Linked DNA regions of Nothobranchius furzeri. The protein of the gene in region 1 interacts with the protein of each later gene in a pairwise test. Links are inferred from orthologs where the notes say so. Each region holds a gene or a part of one and is shown on either strand. Other genes may lie near its edges.

Region 1 (3,218 bases):
CTGGAAACATTCATCTTCTATTATAGTGGAGGATACAGCTGCCCTTGTAGTCATGGCGACAATGCTTTCTGAAGGAGCGAGACGTGTTTTGAACTTTCCTCTTCGTTTCAACCTGAGTGGATCAGGAGTGGGATAAACACGGGCAGAGAATTTCAAAAAGCAAAACTGTTTCTTATTGTATTTTTATTCAGCTACTGAAAAAATAGAGATGAACAACCAGGTGATGTTTTCTAACTGCTGGAAGTTTATTGTATTTTTGGATGTTTCTTTTTCTGTTTGGGAGTAATCTTAATTTATATTAAAATGTCTGAAATCCCATAATGATCCATGACTCATTGGAATGTCGTTTTTCCTCTCCGTGGTTTTACACTTGAAACATACTGTTCAAGTCAAAGACTGATCATTTTTCATTATTTTAAATGTTAGATTAAATTCAACCTAAACTTAAGATTTACCCTTTGTAACCACTGCTAGGAATTAGTTTTGGATAAAGGTCTGAAGTGTGATTTAACCTACTTTAAAGTAGATACAATTGATGTTAAGCGCATGCCATCGCCCTCAGTTTATCTGTGATCAACATGCAAAAATGACGAGGTTGGTTAATTTTGTGAAACAGGCCTTGGTTATTGCTCTAAATGAAATGCATGGCTCTTTGATTTTAGAGTAATAATAAATGTTTGGAGCATTTATAGGGAAATGTTAACAGAAATGAGGTAAGGTATCTTCACTGAAAACCCCAGTGATGCTGCAGTTTTAACTGCGATAAATATTTTAATTCTCTTCACATTTTTACACAAACACATTTTACTCAGAATGTTCCAAGTCTGGGTCAATAAACTCATAACTGCATAGAACAGAAACACCAGCGTGTCAAAGTTCACCGGTGGAAAGCTGGACTGAGTGTCTGCCAAATGGAATGTAGCTTCACGGAAATAATCAGGACAGACAGGAAACCCAAGCTGATCAAGGGCGACTAATCGATCTCATCTCAGAATCTGCCTGAATCAGTACTGATAACAAAACACCACGTTTAACGACTATTGTCACTAGTTTGTGAATCTGCGCATTCATTTAAATCATCTTTGGTGGGTGAGGAAGACTCTTCCTCTGTGGTCTGACGCTCCCTCTGGGTGCACCCTTCCTCTTGAGTCGATTGAGCATCCAGCTGAGCCCTGAAATCCAAACGGGCTTGCCGATTTGACTCTAGAAGTTCGTGAAGTTTGCCATTCAGTGCGTCATTACGCTCCTCCAGGTCATCCAGATACGAATTGATCTGATCCAGCATCGTATTGATGGCGGAGTACTCTGCGGGTGAAAAGCAGGATAGACGCTTTGGTGATTTACGTAGAAAGCTTCCGCCAGACTCAATAATTCAAATAACATTCAGAAACATGACTCAGTATGCATAAAAAGTTTACCCTCTTCGCCAAATTCATCGTCGTCGTTGATAATACCATCATCAGTGGAGATTGTTGGATCCCCGTTTGGTCCTGACATGATTCAAACTGAAGTAAGCTGCCACTTAAACTCACGCAAAGCTAGCAGCTAGCTAACTCGCACCGGTGCTATTTGTCCTCCGTGACCTCGAATCTCCTCGGTTTAAATGAACAAAATTATAAGAGTTCGCTTTCTAATGTCCTTTCTAAAGGTTGTGCTCAGAGTTCATGTCCAACGCTCTCAGAGGACATTTCAAACAAGGTTAGAGATCTGTCAGCGGCCAATGATAAATGTTTACGGAACAAATTGATTCTGGGAGAAACCTGAGCAGAGATTCGGGAGTAAAACAAGATGTCTCACTCTGGTAATTATTCACAGATGAAATAGGTAAAATATTCATACATTAGCGACAGATAATTTGCAAAACTACTGTCTTCAAGCCGCTACCATTTTATGTTTCCAATGTCGATGGTTCCCATTCATTTTAAACAAGCCATGTCATCACTTTTGATTAAAGGTACAGAACTTTTTTCAGAGTGAACCCTCTTACCTTCTTACTCAGACTCAGAGCGAGAGTCAGCTGACCGAAGCACCTGACTTCCTCTGTCTGGATTTATTTCCCTACCCATTATTTATTTACTCTTCGTTACAAATTACATTTTCCAGCTGTGTTAGGTGTATCCTACAGTGGTTAAGAAATAACCTTAACATACTGGAAATTTCTCTTTCAAGTATTTTAGTGGGGGGAAACAGCTGCATTGGTGGTTGCTGAAAACAAATCTTGAGTGGCAATGTGAGAAAATATTTTCCTTCACAGTTTATTAAAGGTATTGAAATGAACAGTTGGCAAATGACTACAGTTCCAAAACAGTACTTTATTCCTCTTCTCCAAAATATTGGAATATGGAGAAAAAAAGAGGAGAAGAGAGTAGAGAATAGTGACCTTTCAGACTACATGTGATGCAGATTTCACAATAGAAGAAGTAAAAAAAAAATGCGACACGTGTTTTATTAGGGCCGCACAATATATCGGCATCAGTATCAGCCAATGTTAGTCATATTTTAAAATATGGTATTGTTCTGATAAATAAAACTGGGCCGATATTAACAACCAATATTTTTTCCATCTTGTTTCTATTTGTTTATCTGTTTCAGAGGGTGAATGGGGGTATTTGTTTAGTTACGTGACAGTGATTGTAATCATCTCAGATGTGTAAATCTCCAGCTACGTTGAAGGACGCAATTTACTGATGCACGATGCTGTGTTTGCTAAATGAAAATAAAAAAAAAATTATTTTTTCTTTTCATTTATGTACAAACAAACACAACAATCGAACAGCATATAAACGCCCTTGATCGATCCAGCCAGACTGGGACGTAATTTTTTTTGGGGGGGGGGGGGGGGGGACATGTCTCCCCCACTTTTTCAAAAGGCAGTTTTGGTCCCCTGCACTTTTTTACGTCCAAAAACAATGTTACGCTCCATTAAATGGATTTGGTTGAGCACTAGGACCGAAACGGAAACCGGTTTACTATTAGACCCGCCCAAAAGCTATCTATTGGCTCTGCTGATACTTGCTAACGTATTATTGGCTGTTGCTGCTGTCACTCAAGTTGTAAACAGTCAGAACGTGCTCACGTTGTTTTGCTAGTTTGGAGCCGCTAGGGAACACCGGTACTGAGTCACATCGTCAACTAGACGCTGTGTAATATCAGAGCTCAGCTCAGCTTCCATTACATAACATTTGAATAAGTGTTCATTTGTGAGTCTTTGGTAGTTA
Region 2 (4,494 bases), on another chromosome or scaffold:
CTGGAAAGCAGCCCTTAAGGACAATGATTGCTCACCTGTGAAATAGGGGACATAGAGTCAAAACTATCTAAGAGCTACAGTGGGGAACAACGTATTTGGCAGCCACCGATTGTACAAGAAGTCCCACTTCAACTGTGAGAGACAGGATTGGAGGATTTTAAAGAAATTATTTGTGCAATGGTGCAGAAAATAAGTATTTGGTCTATAACAAAATGTCACCTCTATACTTATGACAGAGGTCACGTTTCCTGTAGGTCCTCATCAGGTTTGGACACAGTAGCTGGAATTTCCAGCCACGTTTCAGCTTCAGTGCCTTTACTGATGGAGGAATTTTTTTGCCCAGAATCTCACTGTTGATGGTCCTTTTATCCCTTTCATTAATACAGATCAGTCGCCCGTCCCCTTAACTGAAGAGCATCACAAAACATGATGTTTCCACCCCCATGCTTCACACAGGGTGTGATACTATTGGGATGCATCTCAGCATTATGGCCCCTCTAAACATGGCAATTGGTGTTTATACCAAATAATTCTATTTTGCACTCATCTGGTCACATGACATTCTCCCAGTCCTCCTCTTGATCATCCAGATGGCCTCCAGCAAATCTTATTTATCTTCAAATTATTCTCTTCAGTGTTGGTGCTGCAGCAACAAGTGAATTTTCCCTCTGTGGGATCAATAAAGTCTATTGTATTCTATTTGACAGGCCTGGACATGCTGGCATAAGAAGGGAGACCTTACGGGCGCTGCAGGGTGTTCCAGCTCTTTTCAGGTCAGTGACCATTTCCCCTCATATAGTTTTGAGCTGTTCTCAAGATCATTTGTACCCCACTAATTAAGATCTTGCATGGAGCCCCAAGTCAATGGAGATGTCCAGTGACCCTGCATGTATTCCATTTTCTAATAATTGCTCCAAGTGGATCTCTTCTCACCAAACTGCTTGCCTATTGTAGATTCTTGTGCAGGTGTACAATCTTGTCCCTGGAGTCCTTAGACAACTCTGGTCTTGGCCATGGTGGAGGTTGGTGTCTAACTGTTTGAAGGTGTGAACAGAGGTCTTTTATACAGTTAACAAGTTCAAACAGCTGCCATTAACACATGCAGCAATTGGGGGACAGAAGAGCATAGAAGACAGGTGAAGTAATGGGTTTGTTAGGGATTCTTGCTTGTTTGTAGGTGCTAAATACTTATTTTTTGCACCATTATACAAATAAACAAAATAAATCATACAATGTGATTTCCAGGATTTTTTTTACATTATCTTTCTCTCACAGTTGAGGTGTACATTTCATGAAAAGTACTCTTTCATCTTTTTAAAGGTGTGGTTGACTGAAAAAAAACATTTTTTTAATGAATCGGTCACTGTGAGTTTTTCATGCAGGCTGAACATGAAAAACGTCTCCTACACTAATCTCCTGCATTAGCGTTCTATCAGCTTTGTGGGCCAATCGGTCTGGTGGGCAGGATGATGCGACAGAGTGGAACAAAATGGCGACCGCTCATTTGAAACAACTTCTACATCAATTTTGGACTATTTGGACTTGGGCTTCATTAGAATCAGGAGCAGATAGATGTATTTAAGTCCTTTAATTAGAAAAAAGGATTTATTTTTGCCAGCGGACCGCCTCATTTACCGGCATCCGTTGCGGTGAGTACGTCACTTTGTTCGTTGTCCAGTTGCATACGGAGATCCTTTGAAAGACATGGTAGAAACTGCCCCACAACCAAGAACAGTCAATGGAGCATTGCCAAACTAAGATATTTATTAAGTATAGCTTGCCAGGCTACTAGTATATTGACTTACAAGGCATTTATTCCTACTAGAGACCACTACAAATAGATTGATAAAATAAGTCACCCACACCACACAAGTGGGACACCTAGTAAAATCAGTGGCTGCCAAATACTTTTTGCCCCAAAGTACATTTTGTTGAAAAGAATTGCAATAATATTTTCTGTATTTTACAAACAAAACAAAATGCTGTCCAGTTAATCATAACCAATTACTCGTCCCTTACTTGAATTTATTTCATTCTGTGCTATTTTATGAAGTTATTCTGCTAAACAGGCTTTTCTTAAACATATGACAGCTATTCATTTTTAAAATGAAAGATCTTTACAAAAATGTATGCATTAAACCTCAAATTACTCCCAAATGTATTTAAAAATATAGATATTTAACAAAAAAAGGACTTGATAAAAAGTGAAAATATGAGTTTTGTTATGGGAGCTTGTTTTCCCCCCATCTCTTCTCTCATTGCACTGGCTCTAAATACAATGATGTGAAAAATATTTACAGATGTATTCACAGTGAATTCATTATTAATAAATAAAATATTCAGTTGAAATCTGTATTCTGAAAGTACTTGGGTTATATTTAATAATAACAATTGTGTTCCTGAAAGATTAGTCTAAAAACAGCAACAACAACAACAACAAAAAAACAGAAGTAGCTCAAGTAGGACAATTCATGCAACCGTTTTAGTAATAATGAGGTTTAACGCTTGTTTCCTCCACTCGCTTCGAATTAACTCGTTTTCTATTGTTTAAAATAAAGCATTAGTCTGACAGAGCACATCTGGAGAGTTCATATGATTTAAGAGTGGACAAATACCGAAATAAATGTGCGGACAACATCGTCCACTTCGTCCTTTTTCCATTCATGCACGTTCCAGGGGTCAAATCTTGACACTTTATTCCACACATGGCCGGCTGGCAGCATTTTGGACAACTGCTGTGGTTATCAATGTTTTCACGAGACAACGACTAAAAGGCTACTGCAGCCGTCAGGTGTACCAAATAACTCTACTCAGCTCCGCTGTAACCTCATATAAAACGTAGATTTTGGTAGGCTGCTTTAAACACGTCGTGTAAACGTTTCTGAAGTTTTGAAGCAAAAAGGTCAGTAAACTCTCATCCTAACTCCTGAGGTCTCTGTGAGGCTTTGGCTGCTAGGTTACGCTTCACAACTGCTACAGCTAGGAAGTAAAACTCACAAAAATCTTCAAGTGCTACAAAACGTCAACGAAAACACAACGAAACAATAAACGGGACCCTATAATAAAGGAATACCGCACTATAACGTTTCCGAAGAGTCTGTAAAGTGAGTTTCATCCATCAAAACGGGTTTAGCAGCTCTGTTGTTTAGCTAAAGTTTGACCTGCGCAGTCACCTCTGACCCGGAAGTACTATCGAAGAAGCGTTTAAGCTAGTTTGCACAAATGGAAAACAGTTTGATGAACTATGTTGTCCGAATTTACGCTACTATTTCTTGATTTTGATATAAGATTTGGTGTTGCTGCCGTCTGTCCTGTAATCACTTGGTAAGATAGACCTTAATGCGCATATTTAGACATTTCAGAACATAAAGACGGGTAACGAGCTAGTTAGCATTAGCGGATGAAGTATCTAGCTGTTCAGTTTCAGCTGTCAAACTGAGTTTCTCTTACTGCTCTTTTAGTGGTGTCTCGTCACTGTGAATACACAAGAACCACCTCGTTTTCCGTCATACTGTATTTTAAAGTAGATGTTAATGAGCGAGTTATATTGCTAATGATGTTGTTACTGACAAATGTCACAGCTCCGGGTCGTGGTTTGACCGGATAAGCTTAAAAGCCAACGGTCAGTCTCCATGCATACCTTTACTTGCTGTGCCATTAAAATACCTTACTTTTAATTATAGGCTAGAATAAATAATCCAGTCAATCAGAGAAGAAAATACTGTTGAAATTGCAGTTTGTTGCCATAACAGGGCTCAAGTTAGACAGAAAACATTTGATGTAATTGGCTTCATGACCTGTTCTAACCTCGGAACACAAAGTTTTAAAAGTTTAATTCTGTTTAATCAGCTTGGTAATGTAAGTACAATACAAGCGTTTTAAACTAAATCAAACTGTGCTTATTAATTTTGATTTCTGCCAACCCCTCCTTCCCTGCAGTGATCAATGAGGGCTTTGGCCAGCCATGGCTGTCGTGTCATGGAAGGAGATTTTATTTCTGACTGGACTGGTGGTGGGATGTTACTGGAACAGTCTCTCGTGTGGCTTTGTGTTTGATGATGTCTCAGCTATCCTCGACAACAAGGACCTCCGGCCCACCACCCCCATTCGCAACCTGTTTCTCAATGACTTTTGGGGCACCCCCATGGCTGAGGCAAGTCATGGTCCTATTTGGATACAGGCTTATTTTTCTCTTCAGAGATTGTATGTTTTACAGCAGGTGTGTTTAATTCCGGTCCTCAAGGGCAATTTGCCTGCTTGTTTTAGTTGTTTCTCTGCTCACACATTTGAACCAATGTGAGATAATGAAACCATTGAATCAGGTGTGCTAAAATGTGAATACCCCAGCTTAAGAGGATCTTAACATCATGCTTTGACCTATTTGCCATTTAATATTCCTAAAAGTGGCTGTCACTGTATGTAATAAGCAAGACTGTATATTTAATGCGAAGAATTTCTCCCACCTAAGCTTTTATTCTGTGGATGACCTGCATC
Region 3 (3,374 bases), on another chromosome or scaffold:
GTCACCTTATCAGAAGTGGTTTCATTCTGATGGCTCTGAGGAAGGTCATTATGATGAAAGCTGACACTTTTGTTTTCCTGTTGAGATCATTTAATAAAACGTGTATTAAAACTCCTCGATCTGCCTTTGAACGTAAAAATATTTTAAATATATATGCTTTTATTAGAATAGACACTTTACTAAACTACGAGTGAAAGCACATGCATTTTGATCAAAGCCATGCCAACATCAGCCTGAGAGGTGCAACTGGCTGCATACTTGGGGAAATGCATCCTCGGGCTTTGGATGTGGGTCCTCCGGCAGCTGCTCCACAAATACGCGGTCCAGCTCGGACGGTCCTTCCACGATGTGATTGATGCCTGAGTAGGCTATCTCGGGGAGGATTCCGTCGCATACTGCTGTCAGAACCAAAACCAGCAGAGATGATCGCATCATGGTGCTGCTGCTGCTTCAGACGCACCGAGGAGGAAGACGAGGGTGTGGCGACGCAGCTGAGCAGAGAAACAAACCGCGTCACCACAGCTGATGTTCCCGTGGATGGTCACGTGCTCGTGCATATTATTCACATATTAAACTTTAAATTATGAAGCCAAAATAATCATGGTTGTGTTTATATTTATGCTTCCAACTCTTTAATGTGAAGGTAGCCTAATATAGCCCTGCTTGGGACGATGTAAAGTATTTTTATAAGTGTGTAGGCTACCTTTACAAGTTGTTTTTTGTAACACACAAAACATCAAAGGCATCTCATAAAAGTAGGTCTGGGGATGTTGCATACATTTTTTTCTACAGATAAGCTTTTCACAACATTTAGCTTCCTTCTTCTGACTTTATTACAGCCAAAATTAATAAAAAAAAATTTATTTTATTCGCTTCTCTAACCCCCCCCCCCCCCCCCCCATCTCTCTCTCTCACACACACAACCTCTCAATTTTGATCTCGAAATTGGGATACAACAACGAATGTACTAGCCCTATTTGGCTGTCGTGCAAACCACATTTATCAAGATGTAAAAAAATAATCGATATCAGCAATACATTTAGATGATATTAAATTACATAAATAGCTGTTAAAAGCCACAAGAACGTGTAATGTAAAAGTTATACAAAAATATAGTTACAAAAATCTAGAAATGTAAGTAAAATGACGGAATGGATTATAGGGCATAGTGAATAAAAATACGGCATTTAAATCAGAATTGGATTAAACAAATATTGTATAAATTCAGACTAAATTTTTATATTACGCAGTAAAATTAAGAAATAATAAAACAACAATTTTGCTACAAAAAAATAGTATTTTTCTGTTCATATAAAAACACGTTATATACATGCCGACCAGATGCTGGCGCTGTATTAAAAATAGCAGACAGCGAAAAGACGAAAAGGATCTTGGGAGTTTTAGTTCTCCGTTGAAGACTGTTGACTTGATTTCAGATCGGAGAACAAAACAACAAAACAAGACTCCAAAATAAGAAAGTTGTGTTGTATTTGGTGAAAAACATTAGATTCGTATGCCGTGACTTCAAGATAATTTGGGTGGATTCAGCCACCGTACGCACTGGAGCTGCGAACTTTTGGCGAAAAGAAACAGGAAGTCGTTAGCTTTGTGGGACGTGTAGTTCCGTTTGCAGGCCGCTTAGCTTGGTAACAGCGCGTACGATAATAAACAAACAAAAACAAATCAAAAGCTGCGTTTTTAACTCGTCTTTCGGGAGAAAAACATGCCCGGGTTCACGTGCTGTGTTCCTGGCTGCTACAACAACTCCCACCGGGATAAGGAGCTTCGCTTCTATACGTTTCCTAAGGACAACGCACTGAGGGAGCTGTGGCTGAGGAACATCTCCCGTGCCGGGGTCAGCGGTTGCTTCAGCACCTTTCAGCCCACAACGGGACACCGAGTCTGTAGTGTGCACTTCGCCGGCGGGAGAAAGACCTACAGCGTGCGAGTGCCATCCCTTTTCCCGCTGCGAGGCGTGAATGAGCGCAGGAGCCGGCGGGGCAGAGGGAGGAAAGTGTCCGCAGCGATCCCTATACCCGCTACGAGTATCCTGGGGAGCACCGCAGTGGGAGCCGATGGCAACGCCGGCGGCGAGGCGGGCCACGAAAGCATCACTGTGGTCCACATAGGCCAAAACGGGGAGTACCTGGGCACAGCGCGGCTACCCGCCCCGACTGTGGGAGCTTGTTTCCCCGAATCGGACGATGGTATCGAACAAATCATAGTCGGTGAGTCTTCAGTCGAAACTGGGGCCGCCGTGCTCCAGCTGCCCGTCCAGTACGTCAGCGTGACCTGCAGCCCGCTGGACCACTCGTACTCTCTGACCACCGGCACCACGTCGGCTGAGCTGCTACGGAAACTGAACGAGCAGCGAGACATCATCGCTCTCATGGAGGTGAAAATGAAGGAGATGAAGGCGACCATCCGCCAGCTGCGGGTGTCCGAGGCCAAGCTCCAGGAGGAGGTGCGGGAACGGGACCGGCTGCTGCTGTGCGGCCATACGGCGGCCTGTGCAAGGAACAAGAAGAAAGTCTGAAGACACCTGGACCTGTTAGAGACACTTGACAGACTGAGAGACTTTTGAGACAGTGTTTAAAACGAAACGAAAAATGAGTTTATTTTCAACAAGTAGACCTGCTTTTCTTAGAGGCCTGATTTAAAAAATAAATAAAAAGACTTCCTGAGTCATGTAGCACATAGGAAAAAGCAAATTTCAGTTTATTAAAAAATAAAATGCAGTTTTCCTGCAGTTCAGCCAGGATCAAAGACACATTTATGCCCCATATTTGCAAGTGATCTGATAGTTTGATGAAATTAATTTAGATTAACCTAAATCGTGTTTTTGTTCTATTCCAAGGTTCTAATTTTGCAGCTTAAAGGTTGATAGGAAATATTTCACGAAGAATGGCAGGACATTAGGATTTCCTTTTCATAATGAAAGTACTTCCTGGTAGTTTTATTCATGTTTGCAGTTGAAGTTAATAAAAAAAGAGTTCCATAGGAGCACAAAATATAAGATGCCAATAAAAATTCTATCATAAGGACACACTGTGTTACATTAGTACAACTTGTTTATCTTTTTAGAAAAAAAAATCTTATATGCAATTTGTCTCCAATGGATGAGAAGTGGGAGGTTTTCAAAAATGAACAAAGATGTCCTATTGCCTTCTTCTGAACATTATAAGACTGCTGAGTGTTTTGACATCACTGACATTGTCTGCTGCATCTCATAGTGCTGTTCATGAGTGTTTTACATGTTTCTGAACTCCATCTGACTGCTTTTGGAAATGATGAGCTCTATGCAAGAGCCTACAGATGTGTTACTGTGACCCCACGACTTCTTTTAGGTTTGAAAGATAAAACCTTTGATCTGC

The links.
Region 2: the proteins of bbln (region 1) and cep290 interact in binary tests that used the Homo sapiens proteins (3 or more experiments, as listed by UniProt). The two-hybrid records come from large-scale screens. The link is inferred for Nothobranchius furzeri from reciprocal best matches to the Homo sapiens genes BBLN and CEP290.
Region 3: the proteins of bbln (region 1) and thap11 interact in a two-hybrid assay, tested with the Homo sapiens proteins (2 studies listed by BioGRID and IntAct). The link is inferred for Nothobranchius furzeri from reciprocal best matches to the Homo sapiens genes BBLN and THAP11.

The regions. Positions count from the first base shown.
Region 1 is NC_091746.1:54,790,131-54,793,348, reverse strand, and holds bbln (bublin coiled-coil protein), read right to left. Parts: upstream 1,773-3,218; 5' UTR 1,498-1,772; coding exon 1,419-1,497; intron 1,306-1,418; coding exon 1,031-1,305; 3' UTR 741-1,030; downstream 1-740. UniProt on the Homo sapiens protein: Essential for intermediate filament organization in intestinal cells, interacts with intermediate filament and regulates intestinal lumen morphology.
Region 2 is NC_091744.1:50,508,324-50,512,817, reverse strand, and holds the start of cep290 (centrosomal protein of 290 kDa), read right to left. Parts: upstream 2,932-4,494; 5' UTR 2,724-2,931; coding exon 2,616-2,723; intron 1-2,615. Other genes in the region: protein O-mannosyl-transferase TMTC3, read left to right, coding at 3,965-4,153. UniProt on the Homo sapiens protein: Involved in early and late steps in cilia formation. Its association with CCP110 is required for inhibition of primary cilia formation by CCP110.
Region 3 is NC_091749.1:58,063,554-58,066,927, reverse strand, and holds thap11 (THAP domain-containing protein 11), read left to right. Parts: upstream 1-1,530; 5' UTR 1,531-1,723; coding exon 1,724-2,536; 3' UTR 2,537-2,743; downstream 2,744-3,374. Other genes in the region: dkk3a (dickkopf-related protein 3a), read right to left, coding at 1-77, 259-435. UniProt on the Homo sapiens protein: Transcription factor, which has both transcriptional activation and repression activities. Also modulates chromatin accessibility.